Lytechinus pictus: one gene and its partner. The protein of the gene in region 2 interacts with the protein of the main gene of each other region in a pairwise test. Links are inferred from orthologs where the notes say so. Each region holds a gene or a part of one and is shown on either strand. Other genes may lie near its edges.

What was found.
Region 1: the proteins of BRCA1-associated protein-like (region 2) and high mobility group protein 20A-like interact in a two-hybrid assay, tested with the Homo sapiens proteins (2 studies listed by BioGRID and IntAct). The link is inferred for Lytechinus pictus from reciprocal best matches to the Homo sapiens genes BRAP and HMG20A.

The regions. Positions count from the first base shown.
Region 1 is NC_087247.1:80,862,156-80,871,626, forward strand, and holds the start of high mobility group protein 20A-like, read right to left. Parts: upstream 4,046-9,471; 5' UTR 3,715-4,045; intron 1-3,714. UniProt on the Homo sapiens protein: Plays a role in neuronal differentiation as chromatin-associated protein. Acts as inhibitor of HMG20B. Overcomes the repressive effects of the neuronal silencer REST and induces the activation of neuronal-specific genes.
Region 2 is NC_087246.1:16,470,629-16,480,766, reverse strand, and holds the start of BRCA1-associated protein-like, read right to left. Parts: upstream 3,809-10,138; 5' UTR 3,340-3,808; coding exon 3,258-3,339; intron 2,415-3,257; coding exon 2,178-2,414; intron 1-2,177. UniProt on the Homo sapiens protein: Negatively regulates MAP kinase activation by limiting the formation of Raf/MEK complexes probably by inactivation of the KSR1 scaffold protein.

The DNA of each region.
Region 1 (9,471 bases), on a different chromosome or scaffold from region 2:
TTTGTTTGGCTTTCTTTTTTTCTTCTCATCCTTCTGTTTCTTCTTACTTTTTTCCATTTCCTTATTTTCTCTGTTATTTCAATTCATGAGGCATCCGCCAACTTATATACAACATCAAACACATTTAGAGGCGGATATCCAGTGAGGGGGCGTGGTGGTGTGCCCCTCTAAAAAAGAACTGGAAGGGGAAAAAATAAGAAAAAAAGAAAGACGATGATGGCAAAGATTATGATGATGAAAATTATCTTGGTAAAGATGATGGTGGTGGTGATGGTGGCGGTGATGATGATGATGGTGGTAGTGGTGATGAAGATGAGAATGAAGTTGGTGATGATGATGATGACTAGATGTAATTTGTCTTTGAAAAAATTAAGTAGTGCAAAGGTGAATTCATTTAAAGTTTATTATGAAAATAGCAGAAAAAAATAATTTGAAAAATTGGTATGCGTTCGAGGAAAATCCATCCCCCACCCCAAAAAAAAAATTAAAGGTGAGATTTTTAAAAAAAATTATTTGTGACGGCGTAGGCCTATGCGAGCAGCTTTAGGATAATTATGGTAAAAAAAGTAAATGAAATGTCAAGAAATACATGATAATGACTTTTATTGTACATTCAGTATTTCAATAGATAACTTCATACCCCTACTCGTTCCACAAAAAAAAAAGTGGGTCATTACGGACCATTAAAAATGGGAAATTTTGGCATTTTATATTACATAGAATATAGAGCAACTGCTTGTTTATGGCGTCACAAATCAAGCATTCGAAATTCTATTAACTCCAATTTAAAAAAAAATAATAACACCTTCACCGATATTTTGAAATTATTTTTCTTATTATTACAATATTTTTATCAAGGTGAAATTCCCCTTTAATTTACAAAACAGTATCAGCATGATCAGTGTGAAGCGGTAAAGCATTCACCTGATAAGTATAGACCTATCTATAATTCATGCGGCGCGCAGCGCGTGCGGCAATGTTTAATAATATATTGCTGTGAATAGAATGAATGTCATTAAAAACATAATCTCACAGATCAAATAATGCCAGCTCGACGCTCGAGCTGAAAAAATATATTTTGTGCCCTGATAATTTTTAACCCTAACCTAACCCAATTTCTAAGTATTTTTTTATCATAAACGGGATAACTATAGACAATTGATTGAAAACTTATTCTTTTGTGAAAATGAATATGAAGGACAACTTTTAAGAACACAGCCCGGAACACAGTTTTAGAGCGTTAGAGCGCGATTTATACGGATTTATACCTACAACCGCTAAATCCTCATGAAGCAGTTGGAACATTTAGTCCTGATTCAATCAGCTTAATAATTTTTGCAACAAGCGCCAGTCCAACAAACAGACAAACATTTGCCCAAACGGACAACATCTCAACCTCTGCTCATTTCTTTTTGCACGGGCACATAAAATCTCGACCTACCCATCACTTTTCTCACTATTTTCTCCTCCCTTTTATTTTCCATTAATTTATCTTTCGTTCACTTTATTTCTGTCCTCTTTTCCCTTTTATTTTTTTCTCGTCTCACCGCTTTTCCTCATCCCCCAGCCCCCGACGCCCGTGCAGATTCGCAAACAATATCAAGAGTAGTGTTAGGCAAGGGCGGAAATCTCTCCCCAAAGGTAGGGGGACTAGGGGCTGGAAAATTTGACAAGCAAAAAAAAAAAAGGTTTATCACCCCAATTAAAAGAAGGTCATCTTGACCAAAAGAAATTTGACAAGCAAACAAGCCCCCCCCCCCAAAAAAAAGGGCACCCCAAAAGTAAGATCGTCTCTTCCAAAATACATGTTTTATTTCGATTTTGAATTAAAAGACCAAAAATAGTAGAGGGGCATTTCATAATGTGCCCCCGACTATTTTGGGTGAGGGGGACATGTCCCCCTGGGATTTGCGCCCATGTGGGTGGGGGTGATGCGCCTCTCTTTCGGAATCATTATGGAAGAGTGTAAATACGAGTTCGCTGTGATTTCGATCTCATACCTATTAAAAAAAAATAGAACAGCTACGCCTTGAACACAGGCAAAAATGCCTAACGATTTCTCCGCGGCATTAACAACTCTCGTAAGGGGCGCTCCATTTATAAATAAAGTTGCATATGTAGCTGTCTACCGCGACAGGAACAGTCGCAGAATTGAAGCCAGAAGCGTGGGAAATTGCCAGAAAATTCAAGAAAAGAACCGGTGAGTACCGATTTAACAGTACTAATTTATTAAGTAACATTTATTGAATCATAAGAATATTTATTTTTTAGTAAAACAAAGCTTAGTTCTAAGCTAGGGCGGCCCAAATGCGCGTGAGTGGAGTCCCAGTTTATATTAACACGGATAAGTATATTGGGGTGTCGCCTAGAGTGATTTAAGTTACGGTAGGGCCGCCCTAGCCCTAGCCCCACTCTAGGCGACACCCCAATACTTACCCGTGCTAATAAACTGGGACTCCACTCACGCGCATTTGGGCCGCCCTAGCTTAGAACTAAGCAATATTATCTAGAAATTGTTACATTGTAGTCATTAAATATGTTCTATTAAATAAATTGATAATGTTTAATCGGTACTCACCGGTTCTTTTGTTGCATTTTCAGACCATTTCTCACAATTCTTCGTAAATATTTGCGGCAAATTTTGTCGCCATAGACAGCTTAGCATCCATCTTTATTGATAAATGGAGCGCCCTTTACGATAGTTGTTAATGCCGCGGAGAAATCGTTAGGCATTTTGGCCTGTGTTCAAGGCGTTCTGTTTTATTTTTTATATTGAAGATTGTGCATTTGTTGAATAGCGCCGTCTACGTCAGGTATGAGATCGAGTGTATAAATACACTCTTCCAAAATAATTATGATTCCGACCTGGCGCTGTTTAACTTCAATCTCTTTCACCTAAATTAGCGATGAATGCTAGCATTATAAAATATATTATTAACGTCTGACGAAAAGAATAACCAACCGATCAGCTGACGAGAACGCGAATCACGTGATCTTCATATCAGCTTCGATCGCGAGCAGAAGAGAAGAGCAGCTGCCCAGAAAATCAGGAAAAAGCCGTGAAAATGTAAGTTCCCCTTCATTTCTTTCATTTTTTTTTGTTGCTAATGCTAACGATGCATTTACACTATAAAATTATAATTTAAATAAGAGAAAGGAATATAGCTTGTACTTGTGATATAATATATAAATATCCTGTTCTCAGAGATTTCTAACCAAAAATACTACTGATGTCGCCTATGAGGTCCATACATGTAATGTTGGACCTCATTGGTACTAGGTAGTAGGAGTAGGACTCGAGTGCCTAGCCCTAGCCTACTGAAATTAGGTCCATCCATATTTTTTATCACAATCACCATCGAGACAAGCATACGTACCGGTACACATTTATTGAAATCAGCATACACATCTATTCTGAAAGGAGGAATGGAATTCGTACTGTACCGTTATTTAATAGTCAAAGATTGCATTTAAATTTAATCAAAAAAGAAAAAAATCCACATTATTGAATGCATGGGACTAAACACAAAGAAATACACGCAATTGACTGCAGTTGTCCAAGCAAAGGGTATGACAAAGTCAGGTTGAGATACGTCAAAAAAAGTCTCGAATCGTTTTTATTTATTGAACAGTCATGTGCAAGTCATTCAACGATAAATTTCGTCTCTCAAACAGCAAACTGCGTTGCAAAAATGAAAATCGATGCAAAATTACCAGGTCCAGGCATACAGCGAGCAAGTCTCGAGAATCAAAAGGCTAGTCTGAATACCAGTCACTACATATATATTATATCTCTCGGATCGGAGGCCGAGGATGGGGATCTGGGGAGTGTTTCATCAACATTTTCATCCGACAAGTTGTCAGATCTGACATCTTTCTCTGATGTTGATTGGCTGAGAGGTACTGTTACTATGGTAACTGTCGGATAAAATGGGACTTGTCGGATAAAACGTCCGACAAGTCCTTTCATGAAACGCTCCCCAGGGGCCGATTGCACGAAGGGTCTTTCCAAGGACCGTCTTTCGTGTCGCCCATCTTTTAAAATGCGCTGTATGCGAGATATTTCTGAAATGTAAGATAAAGAAATAAAATTTGTTAGCTAGCATTTAAATCAATTTGTATACGATTTCATGATATATCACATCATTTTATAAACAAAGATTTTGTTTACTTTAACGGATGAATGAAATGTGTTAATTTACAGGTAATTTATTTAAAATGCGTTTCACATATGGCGCATCATAATAAATGGGCGACACGAAAGACGGTTCTTGCAAAGACCCTTTCGGGCAATCGGCTCCTGGGGCCCGTTTCTCAACACCGTCATAAGTCTAACTTCTTGACTAAATCGGAGATAGTGAGCTACTTGTCCGCTAACCGTTTCACGAAGCCCTCTTTACCAAGATCGGGTACAACAACCTCACTAAATATTTATGACACCTCCGAACCTGTCAACTTCTTTCTTAATGACGTAGTGGCATCACGTGGGTAGACTACGACATGCAAAAGTGCCTAGAAATTATAAAAATTATAATCTTACGTAATCAATCATAGAGATAGAAATTACATCACAAAACAAGTGGGATAATTAATGCATTCAATGATAATTGTAATACAAAGAAACTATAAAAACTGTTGGTAAAACGCCACAAAACCATTCATTTTGAAATAGTAAAATGATTTAATCGATAAAGATTCTACCACGTCAGGCCATCCATAACTGAACTCGTATTTGTTGTTTTCAGACCCCTATTAACAGTTGGATAAATTCTATCTCTAATTTATGCATATAATTTGTCAAATTTCGTATGTTTCGGTATCAATTATTAAAAATGTTTCGTTAAACTATAATTTTGATGACTTTCGGAGTCATAAAAGACCGTAGTAATTATCATCATTTTACAAAGAAAACCGTTATGGTTTACTTTCGTAAACTATTAAAATTTGATATCCCGGGGGTACCCATCTCAACGTCCACAAGTGATTTTTTAGTCATGAAATGAATTATTCAGAATTTTATTTTCTCTGCAATTGAATGCTCCAATCTTCATGGTCTCAGTATGTATGATGCATAATTCACCTGTGCTATTATTTTGAAAAGATTTATTTCCCAATTCATCACGATATTTGCAATTTTGTCATAATTTTTCTTTTTGAAAATTATGCTATTTTGTGACTAAGGCTATGTCTCGTCTGCTCTTTTTACCGATAGTAACGATATCAAGGTATTCTAGTTAGGAAGCCTTTCGAGAAACAGGTTTAGTAAGATTGGAACTAACTCCGTGGTTGGTGGATAAAGATATGACTAACTTGTCCATGTGTTGAGAAACGGGCCCCTGGGGCCTGTTGCATGACGAGATGAGCGATACGTAGGAACGTCCTAGGACCATTCTTCCGAGATTGGAAGATTGGCGACAAATCAGCGCTTTCCGTTTCACGAAGGCAATTTTGTCTTTCAAGTCCGCGACATCGTTTGATATCGATAGTATCGGGAAAATATTTAGTCTTCATCGTCACCTGAACCTTTTATTTCGGAATGACGACTTTTCATAAAATCATATATTTCAATAAAAGGGGATCAAATAATGTTTTATTTATTACTGATTGTAGAATTGATGTATGGAGCGTACTTTATGAGGTAAAAAGAGAAAAAACTTTCAAGATTCACAAACATAACTGGATAAAATCGAAATTTTCATTATTTCCCTTATTTAGAACACGGTGTCCTTTTAGAGACACCTTTCATTGATATTTCAATGAAAGAGACCCTTGTCCGACATAAAAATTGATTCAACTAAGTAATTTCGACATTTTATTAGTTCAATACACTGATTTTTTTTATAGAATACATATATATAATGATGATTTTGCAAATTATGCGTTAATATGTTATCTGTTGAGGTAAAAATAGGGTTTTAATGAAGTAAACAAAATCAACAGTGTCTGATTGTATGAGACTAAAATGGAATATATGAGAGGCTGCCTGTGAAAAATCTAATTTATTTATTTTATTTGTCAGATATAACGCAAGAAATACAAATGTGAGTGTTTAGAGTATAAACATACCTCAGTTGCATGATGAGTAACCGAAGACAAGGAAAATATGAAAATTGCTGCAAACATGTCCAAGTGGATAAAGTAGAGCTTTGCAATTACAATTAAAACATAGAAAAAGGTGTGCAATTAATATCCGCAATGGAAAAAATACTATTTACAGAAATAATGCTAAATATTACAATGATCATATAAACGTTGGTCATCTTTAAAGTTGATCACTTAATTTATGGAAGCTTATATAAGAATATAAGGTTTAAGAATATGAGAAATATATATGTTCAACATTTCAAAGTTGAGGAGTATGTAGAGACTACATTATTGCTTTAACATTACATAGGGGCCGAAAGGGGTCTACCCTACGATTTAACATGCGCCTCTTCGTATATGGACTTTCCATAATCTTTTCTTTAATATGAACTAGCTTATCTTCATTTGTAATAATTGTAATGGATTCGTAAGCTATATATAGGCCTAATCTGTATCTTAAATTCAATTAGCTATTTTGTTACTGCAGATTTTTTGTTTTGTTTCACTGTTTCACATCTCAAGTTAGCCCAAATCCGACAATTAATTTTCATTGATTAAAATTAATCTCAGCAAAAAAAAAATTGTAATGAAAATGAAATAAAAATAAATGAATGATTTACCATGTTTAACATTTTAGTTTTGTATCGTGTTTGTTTTTTTGCTGAACGTTATAAACAAGTTTTTTACCTTACATCATTTCTTTTAAAGATATTTGTTTTCATGTTGTTTAATTATCTATAATGAGAAAGCATGAGGGGTCAGAGAGATAGTGCCGCCCATTTCAATATTTCAAAAAAAATTAATGGAAATGGTGTGGGGATAGGACGGAGAATAAAAGAAAACATATTAAAAAAAATATTTGGGCCTACATTACCCCGGACATAATGCCCGGAGAAGTTAAAATGACATCTGTTTTTGGTCGATCGTCTTGCCGTGCAAAAAGACGACCTGAAATTGATGACAACTATCCCCCATATAAAAAATAACTTGGCGCCATCCCAGACAAAATGCATCAGTGTGCAACCCCAAAAAATGTTTAAAGGTGATATGTCAGTGTGGCTTGCCGTAAACGCATTTTCTCTCAATGCCGACGGTGGCGGGCGGTGTGCAAAGAAGATCATGCCTACGTAGGACATGTCTGGAGGTGTCTTTCCAAGGACCATCCTTCGTATCGCCCAAACCGGCTTTGTGAAACAGTTGAGCGATATCTCGTTCTTACGTAGAGTGGTCCTACCAAAGACCATTTCATGCAACAGGCCCCTGCATGCTATCTATCCGTACCGCGTAGTTCTGTTTCTCTAATAATAGCCACCTTTCGCAATCCTCACGGACGCTAATATTAGGGTCCCCTAACACAAAAGTTAACGCTTAATCATACACTTGATTTTTAAGATTGATTGTACATTATAGTCAATAGAATCAAACGTAGAAAACTGCTCTACAATCAATACTAAGCTTTGTGTTACAGGGGGGTTACAGGCCCTACAGATCTGCTTTTCGTGTGCAAAATTCTTTCCCGCGACACCCCCACCATTACATGCATGTACATTACGACTGATGGCTGGAGATATTCGAAATGCAGGACCTACAATAGATTATGACATGGATATGAAAGAGGTTTTTCAAACAAATCGAGTACATATTGAGTGAGGAAAAAGTTACTGAATTAAGGCTTAGATATAAATCATTACAGTCCATCGAATCGATATTGCATTTAATGTGGATTATTGGTGGATCTCTGGCAATTATTTCCATGGGTCAAATCACCTCTCCAGCCGAAACCATTTCGCATGCGTTGATTATGTACACAGTATGTATACGTCTGAACGTACCAGCCTTTTGTGTACTCCTACACAAACGATATGCGTCTAGCACACCATGTAATGGGCATTATGTTTTACTTTCCCCAGAAATGGGGGATTAGATTCGAATTCCCGCGGGGGGACCACTTAATTCCATTGATGAGTTGATACCAGGCACGACCATGCGGTACCAAAAAGCACCCTAAATAAAGGAAGCAAGGCTTTTCCAGATTATGAAAATGCATCTCTTAAAGTAGAAATATATTGAAAATCATAGAAATTAAGAATTATATATCAAATTAGAGGGGGAAATAAGAAGAACACGATGGTGTGCATCATTCATCATGGAGACCGATGAAACTCACTTAATTGATAGTTCAAAGTTCTTTATCTGAATGCTTCAAACACGCTCAATTACGTCCGCGAAATTGGGGTTTTTTGATGACGTGTATAAGTGTACGAGAAACGTGATTGGCTCTCCCACGTCAAGCTCCACTTGCATGCAAAACCTGTTGCGAGGGTACGTTTTTCCACACTGTCACTGAATACTTCGATCACGAAATGAAAGAAAACCCAGAAGTTTATCTAGATTTTGGATTTTCAAATTGATGATTTTGAAGATGAAGAGAATGATGATGAAGTTTCTAGCTCTAGTGACGCGGATGGAGGTAAATTAGGGGAATTACGTCTATGATGATGAGTCGGACATTTCAACTTGCATGCCGATACGCTACCAACTCATGCAGCTGCTAGTGCTAGCTGCACCTAGGCCTACTGCGGGCCAAAATAAATCCATGAAAATTCCAGCCTTGACCAGCCATACAGAGTCTCTTCCCTCTGTCAAGGCTCTAAAGAAGGAGAATAATGATATAACTGTACTTACAAAGAAGTGAATATATCCGAATCTGAAGGCAAATCAACTCAACGAATAGCAGCAGACGATATTCACCGACGATAAACTTCACGTGGCCGGGATAAATTGTCACTCGTTCTGTTAGATATAATTTCTGCCTCATCATTTTGACAAAATTACGAAACTCGGGGAATTATTTTTTTTAAACCGCTTGCTCGCTATGCTTTGTCGCTGAGAAGTGAAACCTAATTCAAAATATCTATCTTATAATTAGAAAGCCTTTGCTCAACTTAATTTCTACAAAACACACAATTACTTCACGCAGTTCATGATCTCATTTTGAAAATACATGTATCTGTTTGCACAAAAAAACTCATTTTGATAAATGAGTGCCTTTTTGGTGTTGACCCCCCCCCCCCCCCAATAACAATTTTCTGCTGCTCCTGTCCCAGGGAGTGGAGAAAAACATACGTTGAGAATGCCAGGATCAGATGACCGTGGTAATAATAATTATTGCAATGTAAATCGCCTATAGAAAAATGATGGATTATGTGTACACAGGTAACTATATCATTATTTTAATATGTCTCTATCATGAAATTATTTTTGTTTAAATGTACAAAGGTTAATTTTTTTCGCTCAGTCCCCTGCTTTTAGGTCTAAAATCTCAACTTTCTTCCTCTCGCGCTTTGCGCTCGCATCAATTGTTTAGTTACATACCTATCCCATTTA
Region 2 (10,138 bases):
CCCCAGCAAGCCTTTACATCCCATTGCACTATCTATCTCTCTATCTCTTACAAGACAGAATTCCAATATCAAACTTCCTCAGCAAGCATTTCTATCCCATTACACTATCTATTACAAGACAGAATTCCAATATCAAACTTCCCCAGCAAGCCTTTATATCTAACTCTCTATCTATTACAAGACAGAATTCCAATATCAAACTTCTCCAGCAAACCTTTACATCCCATTACACTATCTATCTCTCTATCTATTACAAGACAGAATTCCAATATCAAACTTCCTCAGCAAGCATTTCCATCCCATTACACTATCTATCTCTCTATCTATTACAAGACAGAATTCCAATATCAAACTTCCTCAGCAAGCATTTCCATCCCATCCCATTACACTATCTATCTCTCTATCTATTACAAGACAGAATTCCAATATCAAACTTCCTCAGCAAGCATTTCCATCCCATTACACTATCTATCTCTCTATCTATTACAAGACAGAATTCCAATATCAAACTTCCTCAGCAAGCATTTCCATCCCATCCCATTACACTATCTATCTCTCTATCTATTACAAGACAGAATTCCAATATCAAACTTCTCCAGCAAACCTTTACATCCCATTACACTATCTATCTCTCTATCTATTACAAGACAGAATTCCAATATCAAACTTCCTCAGCAAGCATTTCCATCCCATTACTCTATCTATCTCTCTATCTATTACAAGACAGAATTCCAATATCAAACTTCTCCAGCAAACCTTTACATCCCATTACACTATCTATCTCTCTATCTATTACAAGACAGAATTCCAATATCAAACTTCCTCAGCAAGCATTTCCATCCCATTACTCTATCTATCTCTCTATCTATTACAAGACAGAATTCCAATATCAAACTTCCTCAGCAAGCATTTCCATCCCATTACTCTATCTATCTCTCTATCTATTACAAGACAGGATTCCAATATCAAACTTCCTCAGCAAGCATTTCCATCCCATTACTCTATCTATCTCTCTATCTATTACAAGACAGAATTCCAATATCAAACTTCCTCAGCAAGCATTTCCATCCCATTACTCTATCTATCTCTCTATCTATTACAAGACAGAATTCCAATATCAAACTTCTCCAGCAAACCTTTACATCCCATTACACTATCTATCTCTCTATCTATTACAAGACAGAATTCCAATATCAAACTTCCTCAGCAAGCATTTCCATCCCATTACTCTATCTATCTCTCTATCTATTACAAGACAGAATTCCAATATCAAACTTCCTCAGCAAGCATTTCCATCCCATTACACTTTCTATCTCTCTATCTATTACAAGACAGAATTCCAATATCAAACTTCCCCAGTAAGCCTTTACATCCCATTAAAATATCTATCTCAATTTTTCTTTCATACTTTATTTGCACACAAAAAAGTTTTTAAAGTTGAAACAAAAAGAAATTCTGGAATAATGAGTTCAATACATTAAGGTAAAGAGCTTCTCAGCCCAATAATTTAACACTTAGCAAAATCATTTTCTCTGACAGTGTATAACGAAAGAGCTGTGCAGTCTCAAAATGGCATCAACAACAAAAGTATAACAAATTATAATCGACTTTAATAAATTATGTGACATCATGGCTGGCAAGCCATTATGCACAGTTTGTACATTTCAATAGCAAATGTCTCATACAAATAATCTACTTTTTATCAGTTAATGTCCTCATCTAAACTTCTAAAGAGCATAAAGTTAGATGTGTCAAGATTTCTTAATAATGATTATGCCTGCCTCCTGTGATATCAGTGTAGCTTTAGAACCAATTCTTCACCACATCAGGCAAGAAGATTTGAGGTCCTTTCTACCTGTATAGCGAATTTCAAAAGATTAATTTGGTTATCACAGAAAAAAGATGTGGCTTCCTGTTTTGACATGTTGATTAAATTTCACATTTCATATTTTTACAGCCATATTGCCATGTACTGCTTAAAGCCGGGAAAACATTGCTATGTATATAACATTGCTCTGTTTTGACATGTTGATTAAAGCCTTAAAGCCGGGAAAACATTGCTATGTATAAAACATTGCTCTGTCACAAATGTTAAACAATTGGGAATGACCCATCCCCTTCCCCCAATAAGTTCAGCTGATCAATTTGACTGTAGATTCATTCCCAGTTAAAATTACCTTCAACATTGTAGGTTTCGATCTGGATCTCTGTCTCTTCCCTTTTTCCGATGCATTTCTCCAAGATGGCTTCGGTGCTCTCTGCCTTGGCCAGGATTGGATGACTTCGTCCATCTTCATCCACTTTCTCCCATGCCACTGAAGGTTTATCACTGAGGGCATCATGCCGTTTGGCCATCAGAGTAGGAGGAGGTGAAGAAGATAGCAGTGGTGGACTTTCTGCCATCGCGTCTGCTCCTGCATGAAATTCAAACAAAACCTTGTTAATCTAAAAAAATTCTAAGTCACAATTTGATTAATCATAATAGAGTTCTAGATAAATCTACTTTTAAAAAATGACATTTTAAAAGAGTTGAATTGAATGATTTAATGTCTCGATTCTCAAAATTATAACTTAAATTAATAGGAAGACTGAACATTATCATGCCTTAGGCTTAGGCATGTTGTTAGGCTATTTCAATTCAACCAAATACTCTGCTATTCTACCATGGCTACTGAAATTAAACTTCCTAAGTTCCTAGTAGTAATGTTAGACAAAAAAATAATCACTTAAATAGCTAACAGTTAGGCTATCAACTTAAAAAAAATTAGGACTAACTTGCCCCGGGGCCGGGGGGCAGTCAAATGTATTGCTGTACACATGCGTGACCAAATTATTTCCAAACACCCCCTAAACGAGTTTTTCTCTGTGTGCAAAATAACCTCCAAACAATTTTTTCGCGAGCTTTATGTACACAATTTGGCCTCTAAACATGTACATGTTGTTGCCAGAATATGACCTTGGGGAAAAAGCTTGGGGGAGAAAACATACCCTTAACATGTTTGGCTAGTTTTAAATAAAAAGCTTTGGAAAAAAAACATACCCTAATTACATTTGACCCCAGCCCCGCAACTGACCATTGACCGGTCTTTCAAAACCACCCTTTTTCTTGAAAATCAGTACACGCGGGGCCCGCGTATAAAACTGAAAAAAAAAAAACCCTTTAAATGCGTTTTTTGGTCACGTAAGTGTACAGCAATATATTTGACTGCCCCCCCCCCCTCCGGACTAACTTGTTAATGTTAAAACCACAGATCTACCTCTTGAATATGACAATGATTTTGGAATCGGAGAGTTGTCGTTAACAGAAATTCTGATGATACACAATGAAACAGACATCATCAAGATACAGAACGATTCCAAAGATCCTGAGCTTAGCTCTATCCTGAATCTAATTTAAAAAAAAACACTTTTCGCTATAACCACTGGATCCGGCAGTTCCCCAGTCCAGATGGGTAGACGGTAATCGAGAGTGGAGGAAATCAACGCGACCGCGGCCAGGGAAGAAGAAAAGCGATGCCCGATCAGCCGATTGTCCACTGCTCAGCCTGCTCCTTGTTTTTTCTTGTCTTAAGAGAATAGACTATTCTAGGTAGAACTTTGAAGATGAGACCAATGTAGAACGTATTTTCTTTAGTGTTAGCCAACAAACTGTCCAAAAACTGTTTTCACAAACACAGACATCATCATGATCAAGCAAAACGTTGTTTTCGTTTTCGCAGCGTATTGCTTCATAATATTACCGGCGGTATGCATGGTTCATATCATGCATTCGGTTACAGCCCGATAGACCGCGGGTCCGATAGACCGCGGGTCCGATAGTCCGCGGGTCCGATAGACCGCGGGTCCGATAGACCGCGGGTCCGATAGACCGCGGGTCCGATAGTCCGCGGGTCCGATAGACCGCGGGTCCGATAGTCCGCGGTGTGTGTAAAATAATGATCAGGATATAGTGAGATCCAATGTCATCAAGAGGTCAAACGGTCATTGATACGAGTCCATGGGGTTCTATAACGATGACCGAATGGACAATCGCCCCCTGACAACTACTTCAAGGAAAATATTATCCCCATATTTTTATCGTCAGGGACTGTTACCCCCCCCCCCCCGAAATTTACCCTCTAGACGCCAATTGCCCCTAGTACGGAGCCTTTCAAATGCCACTGACTTGACGACATGGCGAAATACTTTATCTTGCCATATCGACTAAATAAGCTTATTATGTCGGCATGGCGAGATACCTGCCAAGTCCACATATAAAAGTTATACGTCAACATGGTGAGATATTTTATCTTGCCAAGTCGACTTGTAACAAGTTATATGTCAACATGGCGATATATCGGGATTCTGGCCGGGACTTGTACACTTCAGATCTCGCCATGTCGACATATCGACTTGACAAGATAGAATATATCGCCATGTCGAAATAATAAGCTTATTAATTATACATGGCAAGATAGAGTATCATGCCATGTCGTCACGTCGATGGCATTTTAAAGGCTCCGTACTAAGGGTAATTATCCGGGGTAATTGTCTCGAGGGTAAATTTCTGGGGGTAACAGTCCCCGGCGGTAAAAATATGGGGATCATATTTTCCTTGAAGTAGTTGTCAGTGGATGATTGCCCTAATTTGGTTATTGTTATAGAACCCAGGCGCGGATCCAGGATTTGGTGAGAAGGGGGGCCCAAATTTGACCTGATTCTTGGCGCCCATGTGTACTTTTCGAAAAATTGCGCCCACTCCCTTCCAGCCAGGCTAACTTAAGTGCCTTAAATGGATTTTGAATTATCTTATAATCACATTTTAAAAAGGCAATTAAAGACCACTCTTTTAATGTGTTCTTAAAAAAAAAATCCATGAATATAATAATGAAATATCAATGGGAGCGCGAAGCGCGAGTGATTTGGGGGGGGGGTTCAATTTGGTTTAATTTCTCACGAGAGTAGGCCCTACTAGAATATTGTGTGAACGGGAGCTGTAGTTTCTTTGCTAGTTGTTTTAGAATAGCCTTCAATAATATTAATGATAGCTTCTTGGGAATAATGCAATCACGAAGCAATCGACTCATTCTCCTCATTTGTGGCGTATTTATTCAGCATGGGTGCACGAGGGGGGGTCTTGTTGAACTTTTGTAGAGGGCACCAAGATAACAACAATCAATGAAATGGGGGGGGGGGGTAGAAGTTAAAGAATATCTGAGATTTTATTTTAAAAAACACATTGAGGTATTTCACAAGGCCTAAATACATAATGAGAACGCGAAGCGCGATCTGATTTATTTTTTATTTTTGATGTATTTTATCCTGAAAGCCTAATTCCGGGGGCGGACCTAGCTTCCGCAAATGAGGGGGCGAATTTTTTCACCCATATTTTCCCCCATCGGCCGCTCAATGTTGATATTTTATTTTTTTTTTCTTTGAAGGGGTTGTTCCAGTGGCGTAATGAGCCAACAATTTTGAGGGGGCTCGATATGGCGTATCGCACAAAATTAATAAGAAGTTTCCATTGAGCGAAGCGAGCAAGCAAATATGCTGACATTTTTATTACAAAAATACAAGGTTGTGATAGATTTTGACATAACATTTGGAAAATAATATCATATTTCATCCTAATCCCTTTCCTTTTCTCTCTTTTTTTTTTTGGGGGGGGGGCAAAACGCCCATGTCCTAACAGTCATTTCCTAGCTTTACTTTATAAACAACATAAATGTGTAATAATCTCATAAGCCCTATGCAAGCTAAAAAAAAATGAAATTTCATGTATTTTGTCCAGAAAATTGAGAACGCGTTATGTAACTAGATAATTACCGTGAGCGCGAAGCGCGATCAGAAGTGTTAAAGGACAAGCCCACCCCAACAAAAAGTTGCTTTGAATAGAAAGTGAAAAATTAAACAAACATAACACTGAAAATTTCATCAAAATCGGATGTAAAAAAAGAAAGTTAACATAACACATAACATTTTAAAGTTTTGCTTAATTTTTCAAAACATTTATATGCACATCCTGGTCGGTATGCAAATGAGGGTACCGATGACATCACCCACTCACTATTTCTTTTGTATTATATTTCTCGTCATTGTCATGTGAAACAGAGTTTCATTCCTCCCTGAACACATGTAATTCAATTATTTTAGCATTTTGTGGTTCAAGCAAGGGGGTCCTAATTGTCGAATTCATAAAAATTGAAATATTGTATTATTCAAACAATAGAAAACAAAAGAAATAGTGAGTGAGTAACATCATCGACTCTCTCATTTGCATATCACTTAGTTGAGCATAGAACTGTTTTTTTTTTAAATAAGCGAAACTTTAAAATGTCATAACTTATTTTACATCCGATTTTGATGAAGTTTTCAGCGTTATTCATGTTTGATTTTTCTCTATTTATTCAAATCAACATTTTTCTGGGGTGGACTTGACCTTTAAATATGCATTCTGGCCTAGTCGAAAAGGGACCTGTTAAGGACGTTTTGCAGTTAGCCATTAAGACGATATATATTTCAACGATTAAATAATGTGAGCGCGAAGCGCGAGCTGAACATTTTTGATATTCCACCCTAAAAAGATGAGATTTCAAACCCCCAAACAGGACGCTCGAGTCATGTTTTGTCAATCATGAAAAAGGAAGGGTAATTTTTAGTGTCTTCATAATGCGAGCGCAAAGCGCGAGCAGAAAATTTTTTATATTCTGATCTGAAACTGGATAATTTTAGTACGTTTTGAATAAGATCAAGCTGCGTATCTAAAAAAAAAAATGCGTGCGCGTGTTTTAGAGTTAGACAGAATCTGCATTCTGAATACATTTCATTTTTCATCATGAAAATCAATAATGCGATCGCAGAGCGCGAGTTGAAAATAATATTTGAAATTCCGATATGAAATGAGTCAATTTAAGCACTATTTACAGCACTTTGATATAGGAAAATTGTGACGTCGATGTGGACAGCACTAAATAAATGATGCGAGCGCGAATCGTGAGCTGATATTTTATTATTATTTTAACCTAGGATCGAGACATTTTAAGCCTAAGGATATTTTGTCATCATATAAGAATGATGACTATCTTCTATTTCTTTTCCTAAAACGTGTCGATATTTATTTATGAAAAAGGGACAATTTAGTTATTATGAATTCATAAAAATGTTATTTCATATTTATTAATCTAATAAGCCTAATGAGTGTGTGAAATTTGTTGACAGTGTATGTGGCCTGAAAACTGGAAATTTTAAGTATTTTTATAATCATGAATAGGATTCATTGGTTGATATATTTTAGCAAATAACGCGAGCGCAAATCGCGATCCGAAATGTTTAAATGGGGGGGGGGGGGGAATTAAGTAGTTTGTTATAGGTGTACATAACTCACCAAAATGCGAGAGCACAGCGTGAGCATAGGCCTTCATTTTTTTTAGAATCGAGACACCTGAAAAGGAATATTTAGATAATCTTATATGAAATACCAAAAGGCAAAAGGTAGGCCTACATAGCAAATAATGCGAGCGCACAAAATGTTGCAAATGTTGATTCACACCATAAAACGGACATTTTCCAGAGCACTTAAAAAAATAAATTGGCAAATAAAACCAAAAAAAAATGAAAGATCGATGTCCGAGCTGAATTATGTTTTGTATATTGACTTCAAAACTTTATCTTTTGAACTATATATCAGCCTATATTGACCGAGATATGTATCTCATCGAACAGGCAATGCGAGCGTGATGCGTGAGCGAAATTTTAATATAGTGACATTAAATATTTAAAAAATTATTTTTCAAGTCTTCTCCTGACCTTATTTTATTCACTCGTCTTCCCCCTTTTATCTTTCCCCTTCTTTTTGTCTTTCTTTCCCCGTTTTTCCCAATTTATTTGCTCCGTCACTAGGGGGAAGGGCCCTCGGGCCCCCTGGATTCGCCAATGTTAGTAGTTGTTATGATGAACACGATGCATATCTATTAATAAATGAATGCGAGCGCGAAGCGCTAGCTGAAAACTTGTATAATGATAAAATGAAAAATACATTTTCAGTTGTCAGGTTAGAATATCAAATATTTTCAGCTTGTGCTTCTCGTTCTCTTAAAAAAAACTGTGAGGTCGGGATGCGTATATAACTAAACAATTTATTGATGCCAGCGCGAAGCGCGAGCTCAATTTTTTATATACTGACTTAAGAAGGACTAAGGTATAATTCCTATTTTAATTGCTTGTCCCTTTTCTCTTCGTTTTCTGTTTCTTACCCCTTTTTTGCGCCACCATGGGGGGGGGGGGGGCAAAATCTTTGCCCCGTGGATCGGCCTATGTATGTTGACTTGAAGAACACTAATTCACTTACATGTAGGATTGATGCAGAGGATGCATACCTCATTGATGAAATATTGCGAGCGCGTAGCGCGAGCTGAATTTGATTATAACCCCTTTTTGTGACCCTGAACAGGATATCTATCTCGCTAAACAGACTTTAAACTCGAAAACATTGTTTTTGTCTATTATCGTAAAAACGGGATATTTTAATTCACCCGCATTAATTTAAGCTTTTTGGGCAGGACATATATTTCACTATAAACAGGCAATACGAGCAATGTTGCGCCCCCGGTCGAAAATGAATTTGCATGAAGCCCCCTAAGTTCAAGGTCAATTTGGCGCCCTCGGTTGAACATAAACTTGGCGCCCCCATGTGAAATATAACTTTGCCCTCCCCCCCCCCCTCTGAAACATGTATTTGTCGCATTATGGTCAAAATTCAAATTAGCGCTCTTTATAGTTCGAACATCAATTTGGTGCCCCGCTAGATCGAACATCAATTCGGCGCTCCCATAGTTCGAACATCAATTTCGCGCCCCCCTCCCTGTTCAAACATCAGTTCGGCGCCCCATAGTTCGAATGTTATTTTGGCACCGCCTAGTTCGAACATCAAATCGACGTCCGGGTCAACATCTCCCTCTTTCGTTTCCCATCTCCTTTTCTTTCTTTCTTTCTTTTTTTTCTTTCTCTTATCCTCATTCCCCTTCCTTTCTCTTTCTTTCCCCCTCTTCCTCTTCTTTTCTTCTTTTCCTTCCTCCTCTCTCTCTCTCCTTTTCTTCTCTTTATTTTCCCCTTTTCTTCTCTTTTTTCTTGTCTTCCTTTCTCCCTTTTCTTCTTTTTTCCCCTATCTTATCTTTCCCACTTTTCTTCTATTTTTCCCGTCCTTTCTTTCTCTCTTTTCCTCTCTCTTTTCTCTTCTTTTCCTTCCCCCCTTACTCTCTCCTTTTTTCTTCTCTTTTCCTCTATTCCCCTCTCTCTCTCTTTTCTTATCTTTCTTCCCATCTTCCTCTCTTTTTAAATATTATTCTCTTTCTTCCCCTTTTCTTTCTCCTTTCTTTTCCCTCTTCCGCTTTTTTCTTTTTCCCCCTTTTTTCTTTTTCTTTCCTTTCCTCCTTTTTCTCTTTTAATTTTTTTTCTTCTCTCCCTCTCCTTCCCCCTCTCTCTTTTTCTTCTCTTCTTTTCCCCTCTTCCTCTCTCTCTTCTCTTTTTCTTCTTTTCCTTCCTCCCCCCTTACTCTCTTTTCTATTCTCTTCTTTTCCCATCTTCCTCTCTCTCTTTTCCCCTCTTCCCCCTCTTTTTTTTTTTTTGAGCTGGGGGTGGGGGGGGGGTGAGGCAGTTCCCCCTCGGCCCCCCATGGATCCGCACCTGATAGAGCCCCATGGTCTCGTATCATTTGACCTTTGGACCTCTCGATGACATTTGATACATCTGATCATAATTTTACACACACTGCGGACTATCGGACCCGCGGTCTATCGGACCCGCGGTCTATCGGACCCGCGGACTATCGGACCCGCGGTCTATCGGACCCGCGGTCTATCGGACCCGCGGACTATCGGACCCGCGGTCTATCGGACCCGCGGTCTATCGGGATGTCCCCATGCATTCAGCTTCAGCTTCCGGGTTAACAAAGCGCACCGCAGACAACCAATTCCTAATTGTAAGCACTAAATCAGTTCCTCGATATTATTCATTCAATCATAAAATATGAAGAGTTATAAAAATTGTTATGTTAAAATAAGCTGCAATGATTATGTTTCTGTCTCAAATGTTTCTTTTAACCATTTATTTCATAGATTTATTGAGATAGTTCAACTAATTTCATAATAACAAAACAGCAGAC